Linked DNA regions of Anolis sagrei. The protein of the gene in region 1 binds, or shares a complex with, the protein of each later gene. Links are inferred from orthologs where the notes say so. Each region holds a gene or a part of one and is shown in the gene's direction. Other genes may lie near its edges.

What was found.
Region 2: the proteins of SLC3A2 (region 1) and SLC7A11 are in contact, whole or in part, in a cryo-EM structure (PDB 7P9V), measured with the Homo sapiens proteins. The link is inferred for Anolis sagrei from reciprocal best matches to the Homo sapiens genes SLC3A2 and SLC7A11. Residues at the interface, in NP_002385.3 of Homo sapiens: Glu167, Leu170, Ala173, Trp178, Thr181, Arg182, Phe189, Trp190, Trp193, Met196, Leu197, Gly199, Ala200, Ile203, Ile204, Ala207, Arg209, Cys210, Glu212, Leu213, Lys299, Arg534, Gln559; in NP_055146.1 of Homo sapiens: Leu151, Phe154, Phe155, Ile156, Gln157, Cys158, Glu159, Pro161, Leu163, Ala164, Leu167, Ile168, Ala170, Val171, Thr174, Val175, Val178, Gln217, Gln219, Val360, His373, Thr487, Gln489, Ile490, Ile491, Glu493, Val494, Val495.
Region 3: the proteins of SLC3A2 (region 1) and SLC7A8 are in contact, whole or in part, in a cryo-EM structure (PDB 7CMI), measured with the Homo sapiens proteins. The link is inferred for Anolis sagrei from reciprocal best matches to the Homo sapiens genes SLC3A2 and SLC7A8. Residues at the interface, in NP_002385.3 of Homo sapiens: Thr162, Gly163, Leu164, Ser165, Lys166, Glu167, Leu170, Ala173, Gly174, Trp178, Arg182, Leu185, Phe189, Trp190, Trp193, Met196, Leu197, Gly199, Ala200, Ile203, Ile204, Ala207, Arg209, Cys210, Arg211, Leu213, Lys532, Arg534, Asp558, Gln559; in NP_036376.2 of Homo sapiens: Leu147, Leu150, Phe151, Pro152, Thr153, Cys154, Phe155, Pro157, Ser159, Gly160, Leu163, Leu164, Ala166, Ile167, Leu170, Leu171, Trp174, Gln294, Ser352, Met356, Val359, Glu481, Thr484, Leu485, Gln488, Lys489, Met490, Cys491, Val492, Val493.
Region 4: the proteins of SLC3A2 (region 1) and SLC7A10 are in contact, whole or in part, in a cryo-EM structure (PDB 8WNT), measured with the Homo sapiens proteins. The link is inferred for Anolis sagrei from reciprocal best matches to the Homo sapiens genes SLC3A2 and SLC7A10. Residues at the interface, in NP_002385.3 of Homo sapiens: Phe161, Thr162, Gly163, Leu164, Lys166, Leu169, Leu170, Val172, Ala173, Trp178, Arg182, Leu186, Phe189, Trp190, Trp193, Met196, Leu197, Ala200, Ile203, Ile204, Ala207, Pro208, Arg209, Cys210, Arg211, Glu212, Leu213, Arg534; in NP_062823.1 of Homo sapiens: Leu147, Val150, Phe151, Asn153, Cys154, Pro157, Ala160, Val163, Leu164, Met166, Ala167, Met170, Leu171, Trp174, Ser352, Val359, Glu481, Thr484, His485, Trp486, Gln488, Glu489, Leu490, Phe492, Val493, Val494, Tyr495, Gln497.

Annotation. Positions count from the first base shown.
Region 1 is NC_090032.1:12,314,956-12,322,239, reverse strand, and holds the start of SLC3A2 (amino acid transporter heavy chain SLC3A2), read left to right. Parts: upstream 1-4,272; 5' UTR 4,273-4,299; coding exon 4,300-4,393; intron 4,394-7,284. Other genes in the region: TMEM223 (transmembrane protein 223), read left to right, coding at 1-166. UniProt on the Homo sapiens protein: Acts as a chaperone that facilitates biogenesis and trafficking of functional transporters heterodimers to the plasma membrane.
Region 2 is NC_090025.1:44,305,110-44,313,050, reverse strand, and holds the start of SLC7A11 (cystine/glutamate transporter), read left to right. Parts: upstream 1-4,935; 5' UTR 4,936-5,428; coding exon 5,429-5,705; intron 5,706-7,941. UniProt on the Homo sapiens protein: Heterodimer with SLC3A2, that functions as an antiporter by mediating the exchange of extracellular anionic L-cystine and intracellular L-glutamate across the cellular plasma membrane.
Region 3 is NC_090026.1:9,145,800-9,153,796, forward strand, and holds the start of SLC7A8 (large neutral amino acids transporter small subunit 2), read left to right. Parts: upstream 1-4,986; 5' UTR 4,987-6,111; coding exon 6,112-6,238; intron 6,239-7,997. UniProt on the Homo sapiens protein: Associates with SLC3A2 to form a functional heterodimeric complex that translocates small and large neutral amino acids with broad specificity and a stoichiometry of 1:1.
Region 4 is NC_090028.1:43,362,116-43,370,086, reverse strand, and holds the start of SLC7A10 (asc-type amino acid transporter 1), read left to right. Parts: upstream 1-4,958; 5' UTR 4,959-5,113; coding exon 5,114-5,321; intron 5,322-7,971. UniProt on the Homo sapiens protein: Associates with SLC3A2/4F2hc to form a functional heterodimeric complex that translocates small neutral L- and D-amino acids across the plasma membrane. Preferentially mediates exchange transport, but can also operate via facilitated diffusion.

The DNA of each region.
Region 1 (7,284 bases):
GGTGCCCCTGCGCCACGTCTCCTGCATGTCCCACCGGTCAGAGGTCCCGGCCTGGATCCCACTCAAGGTCAAGGGGAAGCCCTTCTATTTCCTGCTGGACAAACAGGGGCGGGTGACAAACGCCCAGCTTTTTGACATCACTGTGGGGGCCTACCGCAAACTATAAAGCCCAAGGCTGCCGGGGGAGAAGAGGAACCCTTGCATTCATGAACTCAATGGAAGAAAACCCTTCTTACCCATCCCATCTTACTGCATTTTGAACTGGGATTGTGTTGGGCCTTCAGATGTGCCGACATTGTATTGGATGCTGTGAATAAAAAGATGTAAATAACTGTTTTTCAGTGTTTTGCACGTTTTAATTGCTTTCTGCATTTAATTTTATTTTAATACTAGCATAGGGACTTGGCGGTACCTGGGTGATTTGTTGTGGGATGTTAGGTAATATCACTTAAATCCGGTCCAGTTTGGTCCAGATCCATCGTTGGGTGGGTTCAGTTCTCTCTGGATAAGGCAGAACTACAACTCCCAGATTCCCAGGGCAATCACTTCCAAACCCTGCCAGTATTCACAGTTGGCCACGTTGGGTCTGTGTACCAAGTTTGAAATCAAGGTCAATCCCCCCCCCCCCCCCAAAAAAATCCCTCCAATATGTTTGGCTGGTCATGGGGCAGCTGTGGGCCAGGTTTGGTCCCGGTCCATTGTCTGTGGGGAACATAGTATCTCTGGATACAGGTGAACTACAACTCCCAGAAATCAAGGTTAATCCCTCACCCCCAAAAAACCTCTTCAATCTGTTCAGTTGGTCATGGGGCTTCTCTGGGCCAAGTTTGGTCCCGGTCCATTGTGGGGATCACATTATCTCTGGATGCAGGTTAACTACAACTCCCAGAAATCAAGGTCACCCCGCCCCCCAAACCCAAACAAACCCTGCAATATGTTCAGCTGGTCATGGGGCTTCTCTGAACCAAGTTTGGTCCCAGTCTATTATCTGTGGGGATCACAATGTCTCTGGATGCAGGTGAACTACAACTCTCAGAAATCAAGGTCAGTTCCTTTCCCCCCAACTCCTGCAGTTTGTTCAGTTGGTCATGGGAGTTCTCTGTGCCAATGTGGCCCAGATCTGTCACTGGTGGGGTTTAGAATGCTCTCTGGGATTGGCGGAGTCTACTTTGATTTTGGGAGTTGTAGTTCACCTGCATCCAGAGAGCACTGGACCCAGCCAATGACGGATTTGGGCAATACTTGGTGCGTAGACCCAACATGAACAACTGTGAATACAGGCAGGGCTTGGGGATGATTGCCCTGGAAATCTGGGAGTTATAGTTCACTTGCATCCTGAGAGCACTGAATCCAGCCAGGGATGGATCTGAACCAACCTGGCACTGCCGGGTCTCCAGGTTAGTAAAAACAACAACAGAAGAAGAAGAAGAAGAAACAATGTCGTTCCATAAGGAATTTGGATTGTGTTGTCAAAGGCATTCAGGGCTGGAATCACTGGGTTGTGAGTTTTCCGGGCTGTCTGGCCATGTTCCAGAAGCATTCACTCCTGATATTTTGCTCACATCTATGGCAGGCATCCTCCGACGTTGTGAGGTCTGTTGGAAAAAGGGCAAGTGGGGTTTATACATCTGTGGAATGTCTAGGGGTGGGAGAAAGAACTCTTGCCTGTTTGAGGTAGATGTGAATGTTGCCATTGGCCACCATGATAAGCATTTAATGGCCTTGCAGCTTCAAGGTCTGGCTTCTTCCTGTCTGGGGGAATCCTTTGTTGGGAGGTGTTAGGTGACCCTGATTGGAATTTGGATTGTTACGATGGCCAGATAGTTTTGGTTTCCAATATATTAAAGGTGAGCTGGGCCTAGCTTCCAAAGCCTTTTTTGTCCCAGACGTGTGGCATCTGCACTATAGTATTAATTCAGTTTGACACCACTTTTTTTTGCCGTGGTTCAAGACCATAGCTTGTAGTTTTGCAAAATCTTTTGCCTTGTTTTGCAAAAAGATGTATTTTCACATATAATGTTAACATATTTATATATCCTTTTAAAGATGCGGTGGTATTTCCGCATATTGTGTCGATTTATTTCCTTTACCATAATGAAATGCGATGGTATTTCCACATCAATGTCAATTTATGTACTCTTATAGGATGCAGCAGATAGAAGATGGCTTTGAAAAGCAGCAGATCACAGGAGCTATCTTCATAGACCTGTCAGCGGCTTATGATACTGAACCACCGCCTCCTCCTGAGAAAAATGTATACCATCTCAAAGGACTACCATCTCACCTGTCTCATAGGAAACCTGCTACAAAACAGGAGCTTCTTTGTTGAGTTCCAGGGCCAGAGAAGCAGATGGCGGAAACAGAAGAACGGCCTGCCTCAGGGGAGCGTGCTTGCTTCATCCATGTTCAACATCTACACAAATGACCAGCCACTGCCAGAAGGGACAGAGAGTTTCATCTATGCTGATGATCGTGCCATTACCGCTCAAGCAGGGAGCTTTGAGATGGTTGAACAGAAGCTCTCCAAAGCTCTAGGTCAATGATGGGCAACCTTTTGAGCTTGGTGTGTCAATATTTGCCAAAAAAACGAGCATAATTTGGGTGGGGTGACACTTCGAGAAAAAACCCATAATTTCATTATATTTGTAGTTTAATAACAAAAATATATTATTGTAATATATAACTATATTTAATAATCCAAAAACTATATCTCGGCATTATAGAAAAATGCTGGTGTAGGAGCCGAGGATGAAATGTCCTTCTTGGAATGTATGCGGCCACATGCAACCGTGTGTCATTGAAAATGGCTACGCGTGACAGTGCTGACACACGTGTCATAGGTTCGCCATCATGGCTCTAGGTGCTCTAACTGCCTATTACAGGGAAAATCAACTGATCCCCAACCCACCTAAAACACAGACATGTGCTTTTCACCTCAAGAACAGACAAGCATCCCGAGCTCTGAGGATCACCTGGGAAGGAATCCCACTGGAGCATTGCAGCACACCCAAATACCTGGGAGTCACTCTGTAATATATAACTGTATTTAATAATCCAAAAACTATATCTCAGCATTATAGAAAAATGCTGGTGTAGGAGCCGAGGATGAAATGTCCTTCTTGGACCATGCTCTGACCTGCAAGAAGCACTGCCTGAACATCAAGCAAAAAGTGGGCGCTAGAAACAATATCATACGAAAGCTGACTGGCACAACCTGGGGATCACAACCAGATACAGTGAAGACATCTGCCCTTGCGCTATGCTACTCTCCTGCTGAGTATGATGCCCAGTGTGGAACACATCTCACCACACAAAAACAGTGGATGTGGCTCTTAATGAGACACGCCGCATTATCACAGGGTGTCTGCGCCCTACACCACTGGAGAAATTACACTGCTTAGCCGGCATTGCACCACCTGACATAGAATCATAGAATCATAGAATCAAAGAGTTGGAAGAGACCTCATGGGCCATCCAGTCCAACCCCATTCTGCCAAGAAGCAGGAATATTGCATTCAAATCACCCCTGACATCCGCCGGGAAGTGGCAGCCAATAGTGAAAGGACCAAGGCAGACACATCTCCAGCTCATCCCTTGTTTGGGTATCAGCCAGCACGTCAACGACTTAAATCAAGAAATAGTTTTCTTAGATCTACAGAGACACTCGCTGGAACACCTCAGCAAGCGAGAGTCCAAAAGTGGCAGGCTCAAACCCAGCACCTCAATCCGTGAGTGATACCAGATGAGAGACTCCCCCCCGGGCACACAGAGGACTGGACGACTTGGAAGGCGCTGAACAGACTGCGCTCTGGCACCACGAGATGCAGAGCCAACCTTCAGAAATGGGGCTACAAAGTGGAATCCACGACATGCGAGTGTGGAGAAGAGCAAACCACTGACCACCTGCTGCAATGCCACCTGAGCCCTGCCACATGCATGATGGAGGACCTTCTTGCGGCAACACCAGAGGCACTCCAAGTGGCCAGATACTGGTCAAAGGACATTTAATCAACTACCAAGTTTGCAAAATTTGTGTTGTTTTAAATCTGTTTGTTTGTTTTGTTTTGTTAGAAATGTAATACAATGTTCTGGTTGCGGATGACACGTTAAATAATAAATAGGATGCGGTGACATTTTTACATATAATGTCGATCTATTTCCCTATTTCCCTGCCTTTCTCCTTCCCTATTTGGTTGCCTAGGCCTGACTTAGCCATGATGCTCTTCTGGTGGGTTGCCGTGCTGCGGTTGCCGTGCTGCGGTTGCCGTGGAAACGCCCATCCTCGCCAGTGGAGCCAAGATGGCCGCCCCAAAGGCAGCAGGGGAAATGGGAGGAGGAGAGACCCCCATTGTGGGGCCAGGAAGGACGGAGCCGGAGGAGAAGAGAAACCGAGGTGAGTTGCAGGAAGCGCCCACCTACCTATCCATCATTTCCTTTTTAAAAAATAGTATTTTAACATAATTTTGTGGAATATTTCTTTTAATTTTTTTTCCAAAGAGTATGGTAGGGATACAGGGAGGGGTAAGAGTGTTAATAATAATAATAATAATAATAATAATAATAATAATAATAATCTATTTGTACCCTGCCACCATCTCCCCAATGGGGACTCGGGGTGGCTCTCATGAGGCCAAGCCCGACAACGTGATACAGTAAATAAAATGAAAACACAAACAACAGCATAAAATATATTAGTACATTAATATATCATAACAAATATGGAATAGCTAAAAGTTTTCCGGGCCGTCTAGCCATGTTCCAGAAGCATTCTCTTCTGACGTTTCACCCACATCTATGGCAGGCATCCTCAGAGGTTGTGAGGTTTGTTGAAAACTAGGAAAATAGGGTTGATATATCTGTGGAATAATGTCCTGGGTGGAAGAAAGAACTCTAGTCTGGGTTGTTGTCGTTTTTTTCGGGCTCTATGGCCATGTTCTAGAGGCATTCTCTCCTGACGTTTTGTCTGCATCTGTGGCAAGCATCCTCAGAGGTAGTGAGGTCTGTTGGAACTAGGAAAATGGGTTTTCTATATCTGTAGAATGACCAGGGTGGGACAAAGAACCCTGGCAGTGCCTGGGGCAATCTTTTGTTGAGAAGTGATTAGATGTCCCAGATTGTTTCCTCTCTGTTGTTTTGCCATAGCAGAGCACCTGATGAACCAACCTGGACACAGCATATTATTTGAGAACACAGAAATGCTGGACCACTCTAACAACCACCATGTCAGACTACACAGAGAAGCCATTGAAATCCACAAGCATGTGGACAATTTCAACAGAAAGGAGGAAACCATGAAAATGAATAAAATCTGGCTACCAGTATTAAAAAACCCTAAAATTACAACAACAAAACAACAGAGGAGAAACAATCAGGCACATCTAATCACTTCTCAACAAACGATTGCCCCAGGCACTGCCAGGCAATCAAATGCTAATCAAGGTGGTCAGTTGAAACATTCACACCTAGCTCCAACAGATAAGAATTCTTTGTCCCACCCTGGTCATTCCACAGATATATAAACCCATTTTCCTAGTTCCAACAGACCTCACTACCTCTGAGGATGCTTGCCATAGATGCAGGCGAAACGTCAGGAGAGAATGCCTCTAGAACATGGCCATAGAGCCCGAAAAAAACTACAACAATCCAGTGATTCCGGCCATGAAAGCTTTCGACAACTCTGGTCTATTGGAGGTAGGTGTGAATGTTTCAATTGGCCACCTTGATTAGCATTTAATGTGTAGCCTGACATGTTGGTTGTCAAAGTGGTCCAGCATTTCTGTGTCCTCAAATAACAAATCTACATAGGGACCACCAAACGCAGCAGTGTTGCCCAAACACGAATCAAGGAACATGAAAGGCACTGCAGACTACTTCAACCAGAGAAGTCAGCCATAGCAGAGCACCTGATGAACCAACCTGGACAAAGCATATTATTGGAGAATACAGAAATGCTGGACCACTCTCACAACCACTATGTCAGACTACACAAAAAAGCCACTGAAATCCATGAGCATGTGGACAATTTCAACAGAAAGGAAGAAACCATGAAAATAAAAATCTGGCCCCAAGTATTTAAAAACTCTAAAATCATAACAGTAAATAAAGAACAACTTTCAGGGGAACTCCAGACAAGAAACAACCAGGGACAGCTAATCACCTCTAAACAAAAGATTCCCTCAGGCAGTAAGAAGCCACATCTGAAACTGCCAGGCCATTAAATGCTAATCAAGGTGTATTGTCGAAGGCTTTCATGGCCAGAATCATTGGACTGTTGTAGATTTTTCGGGCTATATAGCCATGTTCTAGAAGCAGGCAACCTCTAAGGATGCCTGCCATAGATGCAGGCGAAACGTCAGGAGAGAATGCTCAAGGGAGTGCATTTTTGAGGCACCTACGTCTGACAGATGTCCACCTGAGTTGATCCAGATGGCCAATAGATCTGACCCTGATCTGGTGTAAAGGAGCCCTTTGTGGATCGTGCCAAGGAATCGAATGTCCGGACACCGGAGAGGAGCAGGGTGTCCTTGCTGGGTGCCCTCTATACTCTCAGTAATCCAAGATATCTTGTTTCCTAATCTGATTGGCATGAGCCTTCAGTAATGTGCACCCTTCCATCATACTCTCACATCTTTCACCTGCTTTCCTTTCCTCCATTTCAAGTTTACTTTAATTATTAATTTCTATTATATTTATTATTATCATCACTATTATTTTAATTTCTATTATTATATTTATTTCTGTTATATTTATTATTTTAGTTTCTATTATTATATTTATTTATATTCTATGTATTATTGTTATTTATTTTATTTACATGTACATAACAACAACATAATAACATGGACAACACCGGCTCTTCGGCTTAGAAATGAGGATGAGCACCAGACCCCAGAGTCAGACATGACTAGACTTAATGCCAGGGGACAACCTTTTTTAACCTACATAACAACACAGCACACATGCACATTAGATCTTAATTTCTATTATTATTATTATTGTATTTATATTTATATATCACCTTTTCCCTCAAAAGGGATTCAAAAGTGGTGAACAGTGGTTAAAATCATAAGACTATAAGCATTAAAATGGAATGTAACCTAGTTCTATTTAAAATGAATAATTAAAAGCATTTCATCCAATTTAAAATGTACAAAACACCACAAAATAAATGCAGTTCTAGCTTTCATTAGACATACTGGGCATGAGCACATTAAATTAATGAACTTTAGATCATTGAATGAATTGAGCCACAATGACAGGTGGGTAACACATGTATATTATTAT
Region 2 (7,941 bases), on another chromosome or scaffold:
AACTGTGCAGATCTTTGTTGCCAGTGTGATGTGTTTACTCTTCAATATTTTATCGAGATCAGTCATTGTTGTCCTCCCAAGAATTAAGCATCTTCTGATTTCCTGGCTGCAGTCTGCGTCTGCAGTAATCTTCGCACCTAAAAATATAAAGTATGTCACTGCCTCTGCTTTTTCTCCCTATATTTGCCAGCTCTTTGCTGTAATGACAAATTATTTACTTATTCCTAATTTTAATCTGTTTATGCATATAATGCTTTTTAACTTTTTAACTGTGCCACCGGGAGCCCCCGGTGGCGCAGTGGGTTAAATCCCTGTGCCGGCAGGACTGAAGACCGACAGGTCGCAGGCTCAAATCTGGGGAGAGGCGGATGACCTCCCTCTATCAGCTCCAGCTCCTCATGCGGGGTCAAGAGAGAAGCCTCCCACAAGGATAATGAAAACATCAAATCATCCGGGCGTTCCCTGGGCAAGGTCCTTGCAGACGGCCAATTCTCTCATACCAGAAGTGACTTGCAGTTTCTCAAGTCGTTCCTGACATGATAAAAAAACTTTTTAAAAAACATTGAAAAAGAAAGACAGCTCAAACTGACTAAATCGGGGCAATCATAATTTGGACATATCATAAGATGTCATGACTCATTGGAAAAGGCAGCAATGCTTAGTAAAGTGGAAAGCAGTAGAAACTGAGGTACACCACACTACAAATTGAATTAATTTGGTTAAGCCATATCCTGAGTTTCTAAGACTTGAGCTGGATAGTTGATCTTGGGAAGTGCTCACACATAGGATTGCCACAAGATGGACTTGCTTGATGGCAAACAACAGTAACAACGACAATGTTATTTTTAATTCATTTCTTTCCACCTCTAGTCAGTGACTTTCCTCTGCCATCTCTAGTCTTTCCCTCTTTCCAAACATACATGGGAAGAAATGATGGGAATGCTCTAAGCAAAAAATATTATCCATGCACAATCTAATGGGAAAGATTTACTATGAGGCTGATCTTTAATTTGTGGTGTGAATTATAAGGCAACATAACAGTGAAATTGCTAGCATCAAACCACTACAGAAGGAAAGACACCTGTACTCCAAAGTATCCCCGAGCATATTGCAAGACATTTCCAAACCAGCCCTCACCTCCAGATGCTTGTAAAGCTGCTTTTAATTGTAGTATAAGATGACAATGATGATGATGATATAAAGTGAAGTTGGTTTACTTGTTAACTGGTTTTGATATTTTCCCACTCTGAATTGAAATGGAGGGACCATCTGGAAAGCTCTATAGGAGCTTGAGTTCTTGTGACATAGTTTTTAAGATTTTAGTTCTATGTCCATTCACTACATTATTTTCAAGGAACTGCTTGTAGCACGTTATTATAATGATTCCAAGGTTTTTTTTAAAAATCAGGGTACAATTTAATGATGTGATTCTGTGGGGTTTCAAGGGCAAATTTTCTCCTCTTTGAAATTAAAATAATTTTAAGTTATAAAGTAATAGTTCTAAATTGTATTTCATAAATGAACTATAGTAATATAATTCTACACACAATACATAAAAACAAGAAGGGAATATGGGACTTGGTTGTACAAAGTTGCTATTCCATAGCAGTTACACTGACATTGATGATAGATACATACTGGGATAGATACCTTCTACATTACACTTCTTTTCATTTGTGGAATTGCACCAATTTGACAACTTCTACACACTCTTGTAGGAGCTGTGGTGGCGCAGTGTGTTATTTATTTATTTATTTACTTTATTTCTATACCGCTTTTTTCAGCTCTTAAACCGTTAAACTGCAGAACTTGCTGATTGGAAGGTTGGCCATATAAATCCGTGTACGGGGTGAGCTCCCGTTGTTAACTCAAGCTTCTGCCAACCTTGCAGTTCAAAAACATGCAAATGTGAGTAGATCTATAGGTACCACTTCAGCAGGAAGATAACATTGCTCCATGCAGTCATGCCAGCCGCATGACCTTGGAGGTGTCTACAGACAATGCTGGCTCTTCGGCTTATTTATTTATTTATTTATTTAACGACAGTTAGAAATGGAGATGAGCACCACCACTCCGATTTGGGCTCAACTCAACTTAATGTCAAGGGGAAACCTTTACCTTTGTAAAGGTACCATTACCCTTGTAATGCTGCCTTTCTCCTTTCTCCTGTTCTGTATTTTTTTTAAAAAATGAGGGAATTTTGCAAACATAGCTGTAAAATATCAAATACTGTACATAGAAAACAGACAGCCTGAGAATAGTGAAGGGAGAGGGGGAAAATTACTCCCCTGTCATCATTTTACTGCTGCCATGTTGGCATAGAAGTCAGGTGGACCCATTGCACCAAGCTAGGTGATGAGAATGTCCTGGGATTGGGAGCTATTGATGGGGTTTGCACATCAATAGCAAAAGATGAGTTAACTGAGGTTTGAAGATGGGGATTAAAATACCACAGCTGGTGACAAATGTGTCAGAAAATAGTCCAAGAGTCCTAGAAGTAGAGCAACAAAAACTCCAGCTTCTGATACATCTGAAAGAGCCCTAAAATGTAAATAAACAAGGGAGAAAGAAAGATAATGAAATATGAAACTCAAAACATGTAAACATTAGCAAACTGGATTTACACAAGATCACTTACTTCCAAATTATTATGTGGAGTCCTTCATTCCTTTCCCTCCATTCCATTTTCATCTCTATCATTTCTCCTGCTGAAATGTACTATCAAAGCAGAGTATGGCTAAACATTATGCTTGATTATTGTGGTGAATTAAGTAATCTGCCAGTATAATGAATTAATTAGTACTCTAATGTTAATACCCTTTACAGGGCCTGGCATTTCTTTGACATTAACAAGATACACTTGCAGAAAGAGAGATTCTTTGAAGGAATTTCAGCCTAAAGTCAGTAGGCACAGTGCCTGCGTTCTCTTTAATGATCAGTACTTAGTATTCCAGGTTAATCCTGATTGGCAACTTAGTGTTTCTATAGAAAGAAAAGAAAAACATTTCCCTGGTTAATGAGGATTTCTTTCACTCTCCTAGACAGGATTAATTTAAATGGAGTAACACGGTCGAAAACCACCATTTTAATAGATATTTCTTTACACGTAGAAGTCTTTCTGCAGAATTTCCAATGAAGGACTCCTGCGTGGAACAAGCCAGGAGAGAGAGAGAGAGAGGAGGGGGAGGGAGACCTCCTTCTTGTTCTTCCTGTTCCTCTGCAGACCTTGTGATAGCTTCATGTTCCAGACATCAATATTTTGGGGACTGTTTGTTCTTCTGTATAGATTAGCCACTTTAGGCAACTACTTTGGGAATATTTCTTTTTATTCTTTCACCCAGCAACTGTGAATAGCCTTCACATACAGGCTGAAATGCAGAGTATGCATTGTATTGCACTAATATGCATATCTCTAAGGAACACTGTCAAGAAGGCTGACATTCATACTTGCCTTTAAGCATATATGACTCATAAGAGCTCACAATGACCTATTAGAGAATGCACCAAATGATGCAACTTAAGCACAGGAAATTAAACTATGGTAATTGAACTTTGGGAGTGTTCTGATTTCTGGATACAATACAAATTGTCTCTCCTCCTGATCAAGATATGGTCAAATGCAGGCCAGGGGAGGCACCTCACGGTTTTCTAATGATCACCTTGAGTGTCCTCTATTTTGACTGCCTGATGCGGAACAGCAAATATTGCTCTCTGCCATGCCTACAGGGCATATAGATCCTAAAGATAGCCAAATTATTTTGCCACATATATTCTGGGTATCAAAGTTCAAGGAGAATATTGACAAGCTAAAACATGACCAAAAGGTAAAAGACCTGGAAACAAAGACCCATGAAAATCAGCTTGAGGAGCTGGGTATGTTTAGCTTGGAGAAGAGGAGAGGTAACATGATATATGAATATATATGATATATGAATATATTTAAATATATGAAATAATGTCATATTGAAGATAAAAGAAAATTAATTTAGTTTGCTTCACAGACTAGGATACAAACCAATGAATTGAAATTATAAGAAAAGAGAACATTAGGAAGAACTTTGTTAACAGCTGTTGGACACTGGAATAGATTTCCAGGGAGATCAGTTGACTTTGGTGATCTTTAAATAGAAGTTGAATAGCCAGTTTACAGTAGTGTTTTAGTTGTGTATTCCTGCATGACGGGGCTTTGCAATAGAGTCCAGGCATGGGCAAACTTTGGCCCTCCAGGTGTTTTGGACTTCAACTCTCAGAAATCCCAGCCAGTTTAACTGGCTGTTAGGAATTGTGGGAGTTGAAGTTCAAAATACCGAGGGCTAAAGTTCGCTCATGCCTGCACGACAAAACTATCCTTCTCAAGTCTATGATTCTATGAGGCAAATAATCTCACCAGTAGCTTTGTGCCCTATGCATCAATTCTAGCAATGTTTAAAGTAAGATACCACTGTTAAGAGCTATTTTGATGTGACCTGGGCCATGTTTCAGGGAGCCATTAGAAAAAAAGTAATAAAGATAGACACCAAATACATGAAAGAATTATCAAATTATGTAAAATTAGCCATTATTAGCCTAGACTGACTGAGTTGCTAGGAAACAACAGAAAGCAACAAGGTTGACATGTACTCTTGTGAAAATATATGTGGTCCAAATCAAATTATCAACAACAACAACAAAAGAATGCACATAACCTATAACACCTCCCTACAGTTAAGGGAATTGAATTTCTTTCTGCACTTTCTGAAGTGTAGGCAGATTTTTAAAATAACAATAAACAAAAAATAAACAGACATGGCACTATTTATTTGCTCTGTTTTCTCCTCTTTGTATTTCAGCATTTATAAGGTGCACTGCTCCCACCCCATGTTGGAAAAGAGAGTTTTGTTTCTCACTGAGATTCTATCATTGTTTGGGAGTGTGGCAATATAGTAAACCTTGCCACGAGGGATTGCTTACGGGGAATTTATTTCCCCCTTTCTCAAGTTGTGCAACATCCTGCTACTGTAGTAAAGGGGAAAAGTGCTGAGTAATGCTAGATTTGGATCCTGCTCCTATGGCTGATGCAAACCTGGAGAATTTGCATCATCATTCAGCAAGAGTAACTTGGTATGACAGGCGAGCTTAAATACAAGACCATGCGGAAGCTGAGCCGGCTTCCAATGACAGAGCGGCATAAAGGTGGCTGGGAGAAAGGGCAGGTGTTCCTGAGTAGTGTTTAGACAGCCGTCCAAAGTAAAAGACACTTGAAGAGTTTGATACTTGTTGGCACAAGTGGGTTGAAAGGCTGCAGGCGGTGTGTGTTCGTGTATGTGTGTTTTTAAAGGAGTTAGCTAGTTAGACAAAAGGAGGGAGAGAGGAAAGAAAGACCCGAGGTGGCTTTCTGTTCAGAGAGCTTTTCAAAGTTCTCAGCTTGGTGTGTGGGCAGCACCAAAACATGTTTAGGAAGTCTCCTGTGCCGACAATCTCTAATGGCAGCTACCTGCAGGGGCATTCAAATGGCACATTGCCCTCTGGCTTACACACCAAGGCGGCCCAGAGAGAGAAAGTGGTGCTGAAGAAGAAAGTGACTTTGCTGAGAGGGATATCTATTATAATTGGCACTATCATTGGAGCAGGGATCTTTATATCTCCCAAAGGAATCCTCGAGCACACAGGCAGTGTGGGCTTATCTTTGACGGTCTGGACTGTCTGTGGCATCCTGTCACTCTTTGGTAAGTTTGTGAGCATTCATAATTGATCCACTGGGGTAGATATAAGATATTTGATTCTGGGGATTAAAAGCCTGGTTTGAGACTTACTTGTACTGCTTCAGTATTTTATTTTATTTTTTGGTGGGAGGGAAGAAGGTCTTTTGCTGCTTGGCAAGCATTCAGATACTCACACAAAACTCCGAGGAATACTTTTATCAGAACTTTTAACACCAAGCGATATTCCTTACAATTCCCTGTAGTAAGCGGAGAGGCTAGTCTCCTTTAGCATATCATAAAGTTTGCAGTCTGTATTGACTTTCTGTTGAGAATGAGTTGTAGCATGCTGGTGGAGGGTTGACAGCAAGGGAAATGAACTGCTTAGTCTGAAGAACACCTGCGAATATGCGCGTCATTGGCTATACAAAATGCAATGGGGTAAACGTCTGCTGAACTATTTTCTAGCAGGAAAGCAGTGGTGTGGATGAGGGAATAATTAAACTGCTTTTTTTTAAAATAAAGAGTTTACATTTTCAAATCCATTTGGAATTTATGCATGTGGAATTGGAACGCCTCACCACTTATCCTTAAATGTCAGAGAGACTTCTTTCATGAAAGATAGGCCCCTTGCCTACACTTATTTATTTTATTCTGTTCAGTTGTCTAGCAGGTGTCATTTTTGCAGGTTTCATTATTCATGGATTTGATTAATATGTTCTCTCTAGGAATCTTTAGGTCTTCCAGAAAAAGTCTATGGTCAACCGTTACCATAGAGTCATATTGTAGGAACTTTAGAATCTTAGGGAAGTATACTCTTGGGGAAAAATATAATGTTTTTTGCGTTGCTGTGAGTTTTCCGGGCTTTTATATTGAGTGCCTTCCAAGTCGTCCAGTCTTCTGTGTGCCGAGGGGGAAGTCTCTCAATCGGTATCAGCTATGGCTTGAGGTTCTGGGTTTTAGCTTGCCACTTCTAGACTCTCGCTTGCTGAGGTGTTCCTGCGAGTATCTCTGTAGATCTTAGAAAACTATTTCTTGATTTAGGGCATTGGCTGGGTCCCCTCAGCCTCTGAGGATGCCTGCCATTGATATGGGTGAAACATCAAGAGAAAATTCTTCTGGAAGTTGGCCATGTAGCCCAGAAAACTCACAGCAACCCAGTGATTCTGGCCATGAAAGCCTTCAACAACATAATCTTTTTTTATTTGTGTTTTTCATTTTTGCGAGGGTCTTGTGTCCCTAACTCCTATGGATGCAGAGGGCTGCCTTTATTAGTTAACACATAAGCATTAGGCCTGGGCGGTTTCATTCGTTAATATTGTAATTCGTTAAATATTCGCTAATTTTAGCAATTACAAAACGATTACAAAACTTATTTTTAAACCCGGAAGTGTTTTTAAATATTGAAACGGCAGGCGCCAAAAAAATTTGTATTTCCGTCCATTTCGGAAATACGTAAGATGGCCTGGCGATGCTTGCTGGGAGCTCTCCTCTCTCTCCTCTCTTAGCCAGTCAGAGGCAGAGTCTGAAAGAGGAGGAGGAGGAGGAGGAGGAGAGGGCGGGGAAGGCACCGGCTGAGCAAGCGAGCGAGAGGGCGAGCGAGAGGGCGAGCGAGAGGGCGAGCGACCCTCAGCGGGAAGGCGGCCCGTCCCTCCTTCCTCACCTTTGCGGTGGGTGTGCTTCATTCTCCCAATTCCTTAGTGGAGGGCTGTGCTTCGTTCTCCCAATTCCTTAGCGGAGGGCTGGGCTAGATGGCCTTTGGGGAGCCCTTCTCCCAATTTCGCATTGCTTTGGAGGAGCCGGGCCCGACTCGGCGGCAGCGCTTGAGGGCCCGCCAGAGTGAGTGCCTGCCTTCCCTCCTTAATAATAATTTCTCCTCCCTATTCTACTAAATTAATAATTAAATTAAAAAATATTGAAAAAATATTGAAAAAAAAGGGCGCCATCTTTACAAAATGTTTTGTAAATATTAACGAAATTTCGTAAATACCGAACTTTTTTAAGGGAAAATTTTGTAATTATTTTAAATATCGAAACAAAAAAACCCCCCAAATACAAATTGATTTTAGAAACAAATTTTTGCGTTGTTACCCAGGCCTAATAAGCATATTTCATCTAATGAGCTCAATACTCTTCTCTGTCTCTAATGCATTGTCACAACAACTCTGTGTGGTAGGTCTGTCTAAGAAAGCTGAAGGCAGTCCATGAAATGTATCTGAACCCAAGTGAATTGATTGGCTCAGTGCAAATTGGAACTGGGGTT
Region 3 (7,997 bases), on another chromosome or scaffold:
CATATCCCCTGCGGATGTACTGTATAATGAAGTTTTTACTTATTTCCTTTTCACTTTAGCCTCCTTTTTATTATTATTATTTTGCTCTTCCTACTATTTAAATGTACTATTTGCGATGAATTTTGCGGCACCTTGAAAGCTAACCAACGTCTCCTCCCACAAATGCAGTTTGATGTTTCTGAAGCTATTTGTAGTCCTCAATCTCAAATTCCAGGATACTGTGCCAGTTTTCCAGGTGCTACAGGACCTCTTCTTGTTGTGGTTTTCTTGCAACAGAGTTATCCCTTTCGAAATTGTTTGCGGCACAATTCTTGCTGATGAGCCATTCCTCTGCCCCCAGAGGCTGCTTTCTTATTCTTTTTGCTGTTATCGTCTCTCCCTCCCAGCCCTGACCTTTGTTCTTTTCTGTTCCGGCTGATATGATGATAAAAGAGTCAAGGTGCTCCCCAAAGATTGGACTTCACCCCCACATTGCAAGAGAAGGTGCAGGATCAGCAGAGAGAAGGAGAATGTCACAAACAAGGGGAATTGGGGACAAGGAACAGAAGGGATGGAACATAGTGCGGGGGAAGAAGGAAGCAAAATAGCAAGGCAGAAAGGGTGTGTGTGCCAAAAAGTTCTGTCATTTTGGTCCTTATTCAATTTCAATTGCTTTTCTCCTTTTGCCAACTGTCTCATTTCTTCCTCTTTGATGATACTTTCCAATACTTAAAACACATGCACACAGGGTGCATCTAGACTGCAGAATGAATACAATTTGACATCTCTTTAACTGCCATGGCTCAGTGCTATGGAATCCTGGCATTTCTATTTTGCTAAAGCAACAACATTATGTGGCAGAGAAGGCTAAATTTGCTGTAAATCTATAACTCCCATAATTCAACAGCATTGAGCCATGGAAGTTAAAGTTAAATTTGTAGATGCACCCTTGGTTTAAATTTTGTTATCTCCTAAAACACACCACTGTGGGTACATTTAGACTATCGAATTAAAGTTTGACTCCAATTTAATTGCCATGGCTCCATGCTATGAAATCCTGGGAGCTGTAGTTTGCTGAGACACCAGCCCTCTTTAGCTAAAGATATTGTAAAACTACAGCTTCCAGAATGTCAAAGCATTGAGTGATGAGAAAGTCAAACTTCATTGATTCTTCAGTGTAGATGCTCGCACAGACACACAAAGAGCAAAACAGCCACCCATTTTCCTCACATATTTATGTACATGAAATGCCCAAATATCTGAAGAAAAAAAAGATGAAAGCAATTAATGAAATGGACTATGTATATTGATCAAAATGTGGTTAAACTGAAGCACCCCACAGTGAATCACAGTATGTGGGTTAGCAGACAAATACGTCAATGGTAAAAAGATTGCTATTATTGACCAAGGATAGTTTGTTGTATGTATAATTTTTCAGCATGCCTCCTTATCTCAAATGCCCAAGCTGAAGGGCAGCAATTTAGATACAAATTACATACCAGGACAATTTCCAGTACTTCAGGGAGAAATCTGCCTCTCATGTGAGGCTTTTTGCAATTTGAAATAGCATAAGAAAATGCCATCGTGGAAAGGAAGAAATTTAACAGAAATTCAAAGTGTTTTAAATTGGTGTTTTTAACAAGATTACTTATTCAATTTTTCAGAGCTTCATAATTATACATTTTAACTGTATTTTGTTCCAAACTATATTGTAAGTCACCTTGGGTGCCAGTTGAATAAATATTGAGGGGAAATCAGGCAGAACCCAAATCTGACTTGCATGCAGCATTAGAAGTACATCTGCCCCTCCGTATATATGGATTCAACCACTCTGCTTGAAATTTTGTCCTGAAAATTTTCCCAGAAACAAAAGTTTCTTTTGCCATTTAATAGAAGGGAAACCATTTGCCACAACATCTATATAAATAAAAATGTAATGTTTGTTTGTGGGATTAGCATAACTCAAAAACCACTGGACAAATTGCCGTCAAATTTGGGCACAAGACACCTATTCACCCAAGGAGTGACCATCACTCAAAAAAATTGATTTTGTCATTTGGGAGTTGTAGTTGCTGGGATTTATAGTTCACCTACAATCAAAGAGAATTCTGAACTCCACCAGTCATGGAATTGAATCAAACATGGCACACAGGACTCCCATGACCAACAGAAAAAACTAGAAGGGTTGGTGGGCATTGACCTTGAGTTTGAGACTTGTAGTTCATCTACACCCATAGAGCACTGTGGCCTCAAACAATGATGGATCTGGACCAAACTTGGCATGAATATTCCATATGCCCAAATATGAACACGGATTAAGTTTGGGGAAATAGACCTTGACAATTGGGAGTTGTAGTTACTGGGATTTATAGTTCTCTTACAATCAAAGAGCATTCTGAACCCCACCAACGACAGATTTGGGACAAACTTCCCACACAGAACCCCCATGACCAACAGAAAATACTTAAGACTATCCAGTCCAACTCCCTTCACCAGGGCAAGAAAACATAATCAAAGTCCTCCTGACAAAGAGCCATCCAGCCATAGATATAGATATATATGATCCACACACACACAGATATAGTATCATAGATTTGAAAGGGACCCCTAAAGAAGGACAATTATATGTTGCATGCTCCAGAGTAGGCAAACCAAACAATCTCCACATTAACACTGACAAAGAAACAGCAAGAAATACTGTTTACCCACAAGCATGGAGAAATTACATATATTAAAAACCAACACTTTCTCATTACTTTATTTTCCAGATCACCAGTCTGGGTCACAGCAATGTGTGGCAGGTGATGGCTAGTTGTATATAATGGGACTTGCATATCCATAAATGTTGGTATCCCCATGAGGTCCTGGAAACCCAACCCCAGGGCATACCAATAGCCTACTGTAATTAAAGGGGGAAATATATAATAATGTTAATTAAGAACAACATTATCTTGTTTTTCCTTTTTTCCCTTCTATTATTAAGCTGGTTTCAACTCACTTACAGTGACTCTATGAATGTAAGATCCCCAAGACATCTGAATTTAAAATTTTACAATTTTGTCTTATAACATTACAACATGGATTGTTGTAAGTTTTTTGGGTTGTATGGCCATGTTCTAGAAGCATTCTCTCCTGACGTTTCACCTGCATCTTGGCAAGCATCCTCAGAGGTTGTGAGGTCTGTTGGAAACTAGGCAAGAGAGGTTTATATATCTGTGGAATGATGTACAAGGTGAGAGAAAGAACTTGAAGCTACAAGACCATTCAATGCTAATCAAGGTGGTCAACTGCAATATTCACACTTGCCTCAAACAGACAAGAGTGACTTTGGGAGTTAGAAACTCTGAAATGCTAGTTGACCCAACATATACATCCTTAAACAGACAAAAGTTCTTTCTCCCACTCTGGACATTCCACAGATATATAAACCTCACTTGCCTAGTTTCCAACAGACCTCACAATCTTTGAGGATGCTTGCCACAGATGCAGATGAAACGCCAGGAGAGAATGCTTCTAGAACAGGAGTCCTCAAACTTTTTAAACAGAGGGCCAGGTAATAGTCCCTCAAACTGTTGGAGGGCTGGATTATAATTTGGAAAAAAAAATGAATGAATTCCTATGCACACTGCACATATCTTGTTTGTAGTGCAAAAATCACTTAAAACAATACAATAATTAAAATGAAAACAATTTTAACAAATATAAACTTATTAGCATTTCAGTGGGAAGTGTGGGCCTGTTTTTGGCTGATGAGATAGGATTGTTGTTGTTGTGTGCTTTCAAGCGGTTTCAGACTTAGGTTGACCCTGAGCGAGGGCCGGGTAAATTACATTGGAGGGCTGTATCTGGCCCTTGGGCCATAGTTTGAGGACCCCTTGCCATACAACCCGAAAAGCTACAACAACCCAGTGATTCTGGCCATGAAAGCCTTCGACAATTACAACATGGAGTTTGTGCAGGCACTTCAAGCTATTTAGAGAAGCAAAGAGGGGAGTGATGAGACATATAAAAGAATGATCAGATTGAGGTATCCTTTAATAAGATTATGCCATACAAGAGAAAAATGAGCATTTTTCTTTACAGAAACTATGCACCTATTGACTGTAGGAACTACCTGCCACGAGATTTCACAAAAATGGGTGGCAGTCTGGGAATAGTCTAGAAATCCCTTAGGGTGCATGTACACTGTAGAATGGGTACAGTTTGACACCACTTTCTGCCATGACTGGATGCCAAGGAATCATGGCACTTGTAGTTTAGGGAGGTACCCATACTTTTGGGCAGAGATCTTGCAAAACCACAACTTCCATGATTCCATAGCATTGACTCATGGCAGCTAAAGTAGGGTTAAACTATATTAATTTTGGGTTGTTGTAGGTTGTTTCGGGCTATATGGCCATGTTTTAGAGCAGGGGTCCTCAAACTAAGGCCCGGGGGGGGGGGGGCGGATATGGCCCTCCAAGGTAATTTACCCGGCCCTCGCTCAGGGTCAACCAAAGTCTGAAAATGACTTGAATGACACAACAACAGCAATCCTATCTAAAGACAAAAGCAGGCCCACACCTCCCATTGAAATACTATTAAGTTTATATTTGTTAAAATTGTTCTTCATTTTAATTATTGTATTGTTTTTAAGTGTTTTTTGCACTATAAATAAGAGATGTGCAGTGTGCATAGGAATTCATTCATGTTTTTTTTCAAATTATAATCTGGCCCTCCAACAGTTTGAGGAACTGTGACCTGGCCCTCTGTTTAAAAAGTTTGTGGACCCCTGTTTTAGAGGCATTCTCTCCTGACGTTTCGCCTGCATCTATGGCAAGCATCCTCAGAGGTAGTGAGGTCCAAATTACATTAATTTTACAGGGTAGACCCACTCTTAGTTTCTGGTAATGAAGGCTCATATAAACTAATATAAACAGGTATGGTACAGAGCTGGTATCACTGCAACTAATGTATATTCCTCGCCCTGAAACAGTGGATGGATGGAACACGATGGCTGTTATCTAACATGAGGAAAGGCAAGCCAAGCAGAGATGGCTGAGTCTCCGTTTGGGAAGAAGAGAGAGAGAGCGATGAAAATGGGATCTTTTGACTGATTCAGCTCCTATTGATGTGAGCAGGAAGGTAAGGGAGGAAGGAGGAGTCTGGCTCGATGTCTCCTGGAATCAAGGACTGACCCCCACCACACCCTTCGTCCGGCAGAAGCCGGTTCAGGTTCAGGCACATGAGCAACCCAGAGAGAGAAAAACACCAGGAGAGGGGAGCGGGGAGAGGGAGAAGGAACTGAGCTGAGGAAGGGAATGAGAAGCCAAGGCGTTTGGTGGGGAGAGAAAAAATCTCAGCCGGAACAAGGAAACGAGCTTATCAACAACAATCCAAAGGAGAGAGAGAGCCAGCTGTGATGAGAGAATAGCCTGGCAAAGAACACTCCAGGGATCTCTTTACAAAACTGAGCCAGAAGGAAGATCTAAGATAGTGCTGCTGATTAGACTGACTCTGTGATAGACGCGTGGGAGCTGAACAAACAAGATCAAACCAGTCGCTTTCCTCGCGCTATTGTGACTCTCCTCCTAGACTTCAGGGGAAACTTTGCAGAAGGAAACCGTCGAAACGTGAGAGAGAGAAAGAAAGGAATTCCTCGCCATCAGGAGCTGTGATTGGAGCTCCCACCTCATAGACAGGAAGATCAGCTTGGACCAAAAAATGGTTAACTACTAGCACGCATATACCAAAGGGCAATAGAGAGAGCCAGCTCAGTCTTAGCAGAATTGGTGTGAGAACCAAGGTAGGCTGAACTAGAATTAAGAAAGAGATAACAACTATCGGAGAGAAGGACTAGCTCTGAAAGGTAATTGGGACACTTTGATTCTCAAAATAGAAGCCCAGTTTCAAAGTCTATACAGTAAAGAGCTGCACCCATAAGTCCCAAATTGGACTACAAGACACATTGCTCCTGGGAGGTATACTTTGCTCCTTGCATAGGCCCTTTCCCAAAGGATTCAAGAACATAGTTGGATCACCAGGAATAGAACTAGTGCGGCTCAAATTCTGGGAGAACCAAATCCAAAGCCTTAAATCTTGTGTGGGAATCTATCACAAGACTCCAGGGTCTGCCTTGGAAGCCAGAACATCATGGAGGATGGAGCACGCCGACGAGGTGGTGCTGAGAAGAATTCAACTAACTCAGATAAATCAGACGGCGGTGGTGTCGCACTCAAGAAAGAGATTGGACTGATGAGCGCGTGCGGCATCATTGTGGGTGAGTGAGGATTCTGGTGGGATATGATTTCTTTGAATAAGATAAAATAATTTGCTCATTATCCTCTCAGATCAACAAGAAAGCAGACATTAGAGGGGGACACCTTGTGTTCTTCTGTATTCTGTTTTTTTCTCACTTCTTGAGAATAGAATGGAATATCAAAAGTATTTTTAGTTGCATGTTTTAATCCTCATTTTCAGTTTTAACCACTGCTGCTGCTTTTTGTGCCTTGCCTTTTCTGTCTCTAAACACCTGATAGTTGTCGGTTTGCATTACCACTCTGGTTACGGCTAGTCTTTTCCTCCCTAAAGCAGCTCCAAGGCCAGCCTCTAAACTCCTCCTAACCCTTGCTTGTTTTAGTTCTCTGTTGGAATAAAAACCATTTTCTTGGCCACTTCCCATTTTATGGCACTGTACTCCACCCTAAATCATTCTACATATTAGAAACCTCTCAATTGCAGGTTCTTGTGTCCCATCCTAGGAATGTTGGAACCTAAGCCGTCAGTGTGTGAAACTTGAATAAACACCTTTCTTGGCCCAGAAGAATTACAGAAACAAACAGTGATGTCAGCCAGCAAAGCTGCTTTGCCCCATGGGTTAATAGATCCATGTCAGGCAAGTCTTCTCTGAGTACACAAGTGTCCTCTGCCAAAAAGTAGCTGGGTTTCTAAACCGGACAAGCAGTTATGTCCTCCAATTAACCCTGCCTCAGAGGGAGGGAAAAAGAGTATTATCATTGGAAGCCTGGGGTGCCATGGCCCAATGGACTCTGGCTTGAAGGCTTACCAGCACAGCTGTGCAAGATCAGAGCACGTCCTAGCAGTTCTCCTCTTGGTCACAGGAGTTTGTTTTTCACTTCAGTGCCTTGAAGTGCCTGCCTTGGAGTGTTTTTATTCCAGCTCCATCAACCCCACTCCAGATGGCTCTGTTTCATCAGGTGCCAGGAGACCACTGAAACAAACACTTTGTGGAATGGAGGAAAAAGCACTTTGAGGGACATTTGAAAAACTGTGACTTCCCTTTCCATAGAAGCCTTACTAGCACTCCAAAGTACACCTAGCGTTTGAGCTCTTCTCTCCTTTCCTGAGCCACAGTACACTAAAAGTACATCTCTCCATCATGCCATGATAACAAGTTGATTGAAAATGTACATTTCATGCTCTGCTTCTTCCATTCAGTTCCTTGGGTAATTTTCTAAATAGGGAGAGTGAGTGGGTGAAGATGACTAAAGCCTAGCCTGAGCCTCTATTTTCCCAAAGCAAAGTTCATCTTGGGTTTTATTTTGCATTTCTTACCTTACTTTTAACAGGCTCATCCTTTGCTCCTGACCTCTTCTTTTGACAGATATATGTTCCTCTCCCAAGTCCCTTCTACACTGCCATATAAAATCCAGATTATTTGCTTTGAACTGGATTATTTAGCAATGTAGACTCGGGGCCCTTCCACACAGCCCTATATCCCAGAATACGAAGGCAGAAAATCCCACAATATCTGCTTTGAACTGGGTTATCTGTGTCCACAGTCAGATAATGTGGGATTTTCTGTCTCGATATCCTGGGATATAGGGCTGTGTGGAAGGGCCCTTATATAATCCAGTTAAAAGAAGACAAAGTGGATTATCTGCTTTGATAATCTGGATTATATGGCCGTGTAGAAGGGGCCTCAGTTTCACCAATCTGACAAGGTCTTTAGCTTGCTCTGCCAAAGAGTGCAGATGCCTCACCAAACTACAATTTTCATGATTCCATAGCACTGAGCC
Region 4 (7,971 bases), on another chromosome or scaffold:
CAGTGGAACTCTCTGCCCCAGCGTGTGGTGGAGGCTCCTTCTTTGGAGGTTTTTAAACAGAGGCTGGATGGCCATCTGTTGGGGGTGCTTTGAATGCAATATTCCTGCTTCTTGGCAGAATGGGGTTGGACTGGATGGCCCAGGAGGTCTCTTCCAACTCTAGGATTCTAGGATTCTATGATTCCTATATTTTCTTTTATTTTTCTTGCACCTGAAGCAGCTTCCCTGTCGGAACCCAGACGCCTTAAAGAGCCAGACTCAGGAGTATGTCCAAAAGAATAGTTTATTAATACAAAGTAAGTAAGACTCAGAGACACTTACTTCAGTGCCTCTGGTCAAAACTCAAAAGTTGCAGCAATTTCCAGCTTGAAAAACAAACTAAGGCAATAATCCGGATTATCCTGGCAAAAAATCCGGATTAAACAGGAGTACTTCCAAAACACCCCAAAATCACACAGTAAAAGGAAAACAACTAAAGAACTACCTAAAAAACGACAAACATGGATCAAAACAACATCAAACAAATCTAGCTACATTTTTTTTCCTCATGTCAGGAGCGACTTGAGAAACTGCAAATCGCTTCTGGTGTGAGAGAATTGGCCATCTGTAAGGACGTTGCCCAGGGGACGTTGCCCGGATGTTTTGATGTTTTATTATCCTTGTGGGAAGCTTCTCTCATGTCCCCTTTGCATGGGGAGCTGGGGCTGACAGAGGGAGCTCATCCACACTCTTCCCGGATTTGAACCTGCGACCTGTCAGTCTTCAGTCCTGCCGGCACAGGGGTTTAACCTGCTGCGCCACTGGGGGCTACTTATCGACATCAATAAAACAGGGTTGTTGTAGGTTTTTCTGGGCTATATGGCCATGGTCTAGAGCAGTGGTTCTCAACCTCCCAGAAATCCTAACAGCTGGTAAACTGGCTGGGATTTCTGGGAGTTGTAGGCCAAAAACATCTGGGGACCCCAGGTTGAGAACCACTGGTCTAGAGGCATTCTCTCCTGACGTTTCGCCTGCATCTATGGCAAGCATCCTCAGAGGTAGTGAGGTCTGTTGGAAACTAGGCAAAGGGTTTATATATCTGTGGAAAGACCAGGGTGAGACAAAGGACTCTTGTCTGCTGGAGCTAGGGGTGAATGTTTCAACTGACCACCTTGATTAGCATATAATGGCCTGACAGTGCCTAGAGCAAACTTTGTTGAGAGGTGATTGTTTGTTTCCTCTCTGTTGTTGTGCTATTGTAATTTTAGAGTTTTCTAATACTGGTAGCCAGATTGTGTTCATTTTCATGGTTTCCTCCTCCTTTCTGTTGAAATTGTCCACATGCTTCTTGTGGATGTCAATGGCTTCTCTGTGTAGTCTGACACGGTGGTTGTGAGAGTGGTCCAGCATTTCTGTGTTCTCAAATAATAATATGCTGTGTCCAGGTTGGTTCCTCAGGTGCTCTGCTAGGGCTGACTTCTCTGGTTCAGGTAGTCTGCCGTGCCTTTCATGGTCCTTGATGTGTGTTTGGGCAATGCTGCTGTGTTTGGTGGTCCCTCTGGAGACTTGTCCACAGCTGCATGGTATACGGTCAACACCTGCAGAAGCGAGAGGGTCCCTCTTGTCCTTTGCTGAATGGAGCATTGGTTGGATTTTCTTGGTGGGTCTGGAGATAGTTTGTATGTTGTGTTTCCTCCTCAGCTTCCCTCTGCGGTCAGTGGTTCCCTTGATGTCTGGCAGGAACACTTTCCCTCTGGGTGGACCTTCATCTTGACTCTCATTTATTTATTTATTTATTTATTTGCTTTATTTCTATACCGCATTTTTCAGCCTAGATTAGGCGACTCAATGCGGTTTACACAGTGCAAGTTATACAGTAATATACAGTTAAAAACACATCACACATTACAACAAAATCAACAGTTATTATCAATTCCTAATCAATTCATGACGCCTCAACAGAGCAAGATCCATTCTCATAATCCTTGTGCCAGGCGGTCCCAGTGGTGATCGGCACACTGGGTGCAGTGCCTCAAGACCTTGGCCTGCACTTAAACACAATCAGCACTGACAAAATTACCAGCTGCCAGCTGCAGAAGTCCACCTTGTGCCATTCCTATGTTCAGTTTTACCGACTTCCTGTGTTCAGTTGTTCAGTTGCACTGATTAGCCAAACGCTTGCTCATAGAGCCAAGTCTTGATCTTCCTCCAAAACGCCAGCAACGAGGGGACCTGTCTGATGTCAACCGGTAGGGCATTCCACCACCGAGAAGTCCCTGTCTCTCATCCTCGCCAATCGTGCCTGTGATGTAGGCGGGACCGAGAGCAGGGCCTCCCTGGACGATCTTAATGTCCGCACCGGTTCATAGGAGGAGATGCGTTCGGAGAGGTAAGAGGGGCCAGAACCGTTTAGGGCTTTGTAGGCTAATGCCAGCATCTTGAATTGTGCCCGGTAGCAAATTGGCAGCCAGTGGAGCTGGCTCAACAGAGGAGTGGTGTGCTCCCTGAGTGCCGCTCCTGTTAACAACCTGGCTGCCAAGCGCTGGACCATCTGAAGCTTCCGGGCAGTCTTCAAGGGCAGCCCCATGTAGAGCGCATTGCAGTAATCTATGCGGGATGTAACCAGAGCGTGGACTACCGTGGCCAAGTCAGACTTCCCAAGGTACGGGCGCAGCTCCCTCATGGCTTCTTCTCGGTTGTCTTGCAGCTCTTCTGATGCCTGAGGTGGAGTCTCCATTGGCCTGGAGAGCCTGAGGGGGTTCAGTTCCTTTTGGAGGAGGAGGTGTGCTTCACAGATTCCCTTTGGGTGATGGTTGGAGTTTTTATGTAGATATCTATCTCTGTGTGTGGGTTTTCTGTAGACGGTGTGACCCAATTGTTGATCTGGTTTACGGATGACCAGGACATCCAGAAAAGGCAGTCTTCCTTCATTTTCTTTTTCCATGGTGAATTGGATGTTTGGGTGGATACTGTTGAGATGGTCCAGCAACCTGTTGAGTTCTTCTTCTCCGTGGCTCCAAATGGTGAAGGTGTCATCCACATATCTGAACCATGTAGTGGGCTTTTTGGTTGCTGTTTCCAGGGCTTTCTTTTCAAAGTGTTCCATGTAGAAATTGGCTATGACCGGGCTGAGGGGGCTATATATAAAACAATTTCAAAGCTCGGGAGTGTCCTGCTGCTGAACTATGTCAATGCAATCACCTATTTAATAGGACCTGTTGATAGTCCGCATTCAAGCCTGTTTGGGGCTGGCTACCAATATTGCCTCGTAATCAAGCTAAACCCCTTAAGAGCTTATTTCCCTTCCAATCATAAAGGAATTTATTGCAGGCGCAGCAGATTGGGGGGGGGGGTGCCTATTCATGAAACCTATGTTTATATAATCACAGCTGTCCTTTTCTTTTTTGCCTGCCCTCCTTGTTGCTCATTCCCACAATCTGCAGCAAGAGGCAGTTCGGAATGGTGGGAGTTGAAGTCCAAAATACCTGGAGGGCCCAAGTTGGCCCAGGGCTGGGTCAAAGCATATTTAGAAGTCATATCTCATGCATAGCATATCTCACGCATAGGCCTTCTATCTGAATTCAATCCTGCTATCGAAGGCTTTCATGGCCGGAATCACTGGGTTGCTGTAGGTTTTTTTGGGCGATATGGCCATGTTTTAGAGGCATTCTCTCCTGACGTTTCGCCTGCATCTATGGCAAGAAGAGCTGCAAGACAGAGAAGAAGCCACGAGAGTCAAGACCAAGATCCACCCAGAGGAAAAGGGTTCTTGCCAGACATCAAGGGAACCACTGACCGCAGAGGGAAGCTGAGGAGGAAACACAACATACAAACTATCTCCAGACCCACCAAGAAAATCCAGCAAATGCTCCGTTCAGCAAAGGACAAGAGGGATCCTCTCACCTCTGCAGGAGTCTACCATTGTATACCATGCAGCTGTGGACAAGAAGACTCCAGAGGGACCACCAAACGCAGCATTGCCCACACACGAATCAAGGAACATGAAAGGCACGGCAGACTACCTGAACCAGAGAAGTCAGCCATAGCAGAGCACCTGAGGAACCAACCCGGACACAGCATGTTATTTGAGAACACAGAAATGCTGGACCACTCTCACAACCACCGTGTCAGAAGACACAGAGAAGCCATTGAGATCCACAAGAAGCATGTGGACAATGTCAACAGAAAGGAGGAAACCATGAAAATGAACACAATCTCGCTACCAGTATTAAAAAATAACTAAAATTACAACAGCAAAACAACAGGGAAAACAATCAGGGACATCTAATCACCTCTCAACAAAAGATTGCCCCAGGCACTGCCAGGCAATCAAATGCTAATCAAGGTGGTCAGTTGAAACATTCACACCTAGCTCCAGCAGACAAGAGTCCTTTCCACAGATATATAATTCCCTTTTTCCTAGTTCCAACAGACCTCTCTACCTCTGAGGATGCTTGCCATAGATGCAGGCGAAACGTCAGGAGAGAATGCCTCTAGATCATGGCCATATAGCCTGAAAAAACCTACAACAACCCATTACATTTATTGTTTTATGTATTGTCGAAGGCTTTCATGGCAGGAATCGCTAGGTTGTTGTAGGTTTTTTTGGGCTATATGGCCATGTTCTAGAAGCATTATCTCCTGACGTTTCGCCTGCATCTATGGCAAGCATGCTCACTACCTCTGAGGATGCTTGCCACAGATGCAGGAAAAACGTCAGGAGAGAATGCCTCTAAACCATGGCCATATAGCCCGGAAAAACCTACAACAACCCATCTCATTCCATGTGGATGTTTTGGAACTGCTAGGTTGGCAGGAGCTGGGGCGGAGAGCGGGGTCGCGAGAGGAGCTTTCCGCAGCCAGTCTCCAGGAGGGAGGGAAGGGGCGAGAGTTGGATGGGCGAATAATGGGCGGGGGCCAAAGGGGCGAGTGTCCCCAACGCCTCCCGAGCCCGGCCAGAGGCGCATGCGCCTCCCTCCGCCAGCGCTCCAGCTGGGCTTGGCTCCCCCGACTGAGTGAGGCAAGGAAGGCAGGCAGAGCGCGGCCGGAGGGCTTTCCGCGGGGCACCCCCACCGCAGCCCCCCAAGGAAGGAAGGCAGGCAGGAAGGCAGAGAAGGGGCGAAGGAGGGGAGCCATGGCCGGGGAGAACCAGCCGCGGAGCCTGAGGAAGAGCATCTCGGCGCAGCAGCAGCCGGCCCCCCCGCACCCGCCGCCGCCCCAGCCCCAGCCCCCCCGGCCCCCCCACCCGCAGCAGCAGCCCCCGCCCCAGCCCCCCGGCGCCCCCGAGAGGGTCACCCTCAAGAAGGAGATCGGCTTGGTCAGCGCCTGTGCCATCATCATCGGTAGGTAGGCAGGGAGGGGGGCAGACTCGCTTGGTCGCCCGGGGGGGGGGGGCTTCTGCAAGGATCCATCTGGGGGCAGCCCCTCCTGCTTCTGGGGTTTGGGAACGAGCGCGGCTAGACTACAACTCCCAAGCTCCAGAATCAACCGCCTCCAAACCCTACCAGTTGATCCTGTTGGGTCTGCGTGCCAAGTTTGGTCCAAGTCCTGCCTTGGTTGGGTTCACAGTGCTCTCTGGATGTGGGTGAACTAGAACTTCTCCAAGGTCAATCCCTTCCAAACCCTGCCAGTATTCAAAGTTGGGCATGTTGGGTCTGCATGCCAAGTTTGGTCCCAGTCCATCCTTGGTTGGGCTCACTGTGCTCTTTTGATTAGAGTGAACTACAACTCCCAACCTCCAAGGTCAACTGCCTCCAAACCCTGCCAGTTGGGCATGTGGGGTCTGTGTGCCAAGTTTGATCCCAGCCCATCCTTGGCTCACGGTGCGCTTTTGATTAGGGTGAACTACAACTCCCAACCTCCAAGGTCAACCCCCTTCAAACCCTGCCCGTATGTTCTGTTGATCATCAGGTGTCTGTGTGCCAAATTTGGTCCAGATCCACTGTCGGTGGGAGTCACAGGGCTCTTTGGATGGAACTACAAATCCCAACCTTCAAGGTCAACCGCCTCCAAACCCCGCCAGTATTCAAAGCTGGCCATGTTGGGTCTGCGTGCCAAGTTTGGTCCATATTCATCCTTGGTTAGGTTCACACTGCTTTCTGGGTGTGAGTGAACTACAACTTCCAACCTCCAAGGTCAATACCTTCCAAACCCTGCCAGTTGGGCATGTGGGGTCTGTGTGCCAAGTTTGATCCCAGTCCATCCTTGGCTCACGGTGCTCTTTTGATTAGGGTGAACTACAACTCCCAACCTCCAAGGTCAACCCCTTTCAAACCCTGCCCGTATGTTCTATTGATCATCAAGTGTCTGTGTGCCAAATTTGGTCCAGATCCACTGTCGGTGGGAGTCACAGGGCTCTTTGGATGGAACTACAAATCCCAACCTTCAAGGTCAACCGCCTCCAAACCCCGCCAGGGCATGCTGGGTCTGTGTGCCAAGTTTGGTCTCAACCCATCCTTGGTTGGGCTCACAGCGTTCTTTTGATTAAGGTGAACTACAACTCCCAACCTCCAAGGTCAACCCCCTTCAAACCCTGCCCATATGTTCTGTTGATCATGGGGTGTCTGTGTGCCAAATTTGGTCCAGATCCACCATCAGTGGGTGTCACAGAGCTCCCACCGAACACCAGCTGGGTTCACAGTGCTCTTTGATTGTGGGTGGACTATAACTCCCATCATCCAGGGCCAACTGCCCTCCTCCCCAAACCCTTCCAGTATGTTCTGTTGGTCATGGGGTGTCTGTGTGCCAAGTTTGGTCCAGAACTGCGGTAGGTGGGAGTCACAGTGATCTCTGGAAGTGTTGTCCGTCTTGGAAAAGACATACAAATGAGCATAGATACATGTATACAAACTTTCACTATGATTATATGGATAGATATCGAAAAAGGAGATAGAAATGGGCCGTGAATGTTCTCCACCACATTCCTCTTCCATCTCCATCTCCATCTCCTTCCCCTCCATCTCCATGATCTCCACCACATTCCTCCTCCATCTCCATCACCTCCTCCATCTCCTCCTCCAGTACATACAAATGGGCATAAATGCATGTATACAAACTTTCACTTTGATTATATTGAAAGATATTGAAGAAGGAGATAGAAATGGGTTGTGAATGTTCTCCACCACATTCCTCCTCCATAATCTTCACCACTTTCCTCCTCCACCTCCATCTCCATGATCTCTACCACATTCCTCCTCCATCTCCATCTCCATCTCCTTCTCCTCCTACATACAAATGAACATAGATACATGTATACAAACTTTCACTATGATTATATTGATAGATATCAAAGAAGGAGATAGAAATGGGCTGTGAATGTTCTCCACCACATTCCTCCTCCATCTCCATCTCCATCTCCATCCCCTTCCCCTTCATCTCCATGATCTCCACCACATTCCTTCTCCATCTCCTTCTCCATCTCCCTCGCCTTCTCCTCCATCTCCATGATCTCCACCACATTCCTCCTCCATCTCCATCTCCAACTCCTTCTCCATCTCCTTCCACTTTCCTTCCATCTCCATGATTTCCACCACATTCTTCCTCCATCTCCAACTCCTTCTCCATCTCCATCTCCATCTCCTTCCATTTTCCTTCCATGATCTCCACCACATTCCTCCTCCATCTCCACCTCCTTCTCCAACTCCTTCTCCATCTCCTTCTCCTTCCCCTTCCCTTCCATCTCTATGATCTCCATCACATTCTTCTTCCGTCTCTATCTTCTTCTCTATCCCCATCTCCTTCTCCTCCTACATGCAAATGAGCATAGATACATGTGTACAAACTTTCACTTTGATTATATAGATAGATATCGAAGAAGGAGATAGAAATGGGCTGTGAATGTTCTCCACCACATTCCTCCTCCATCTCCATCTCCATCCCCTTCCCCTTCATCTCCATGATCTCCACCACATTCCTTCTCCATCTCCATTTCCTCCTCCATCTTCATCTCCTTCTCCTCCTACATGCAAATGAACATAGATACATGTATACACG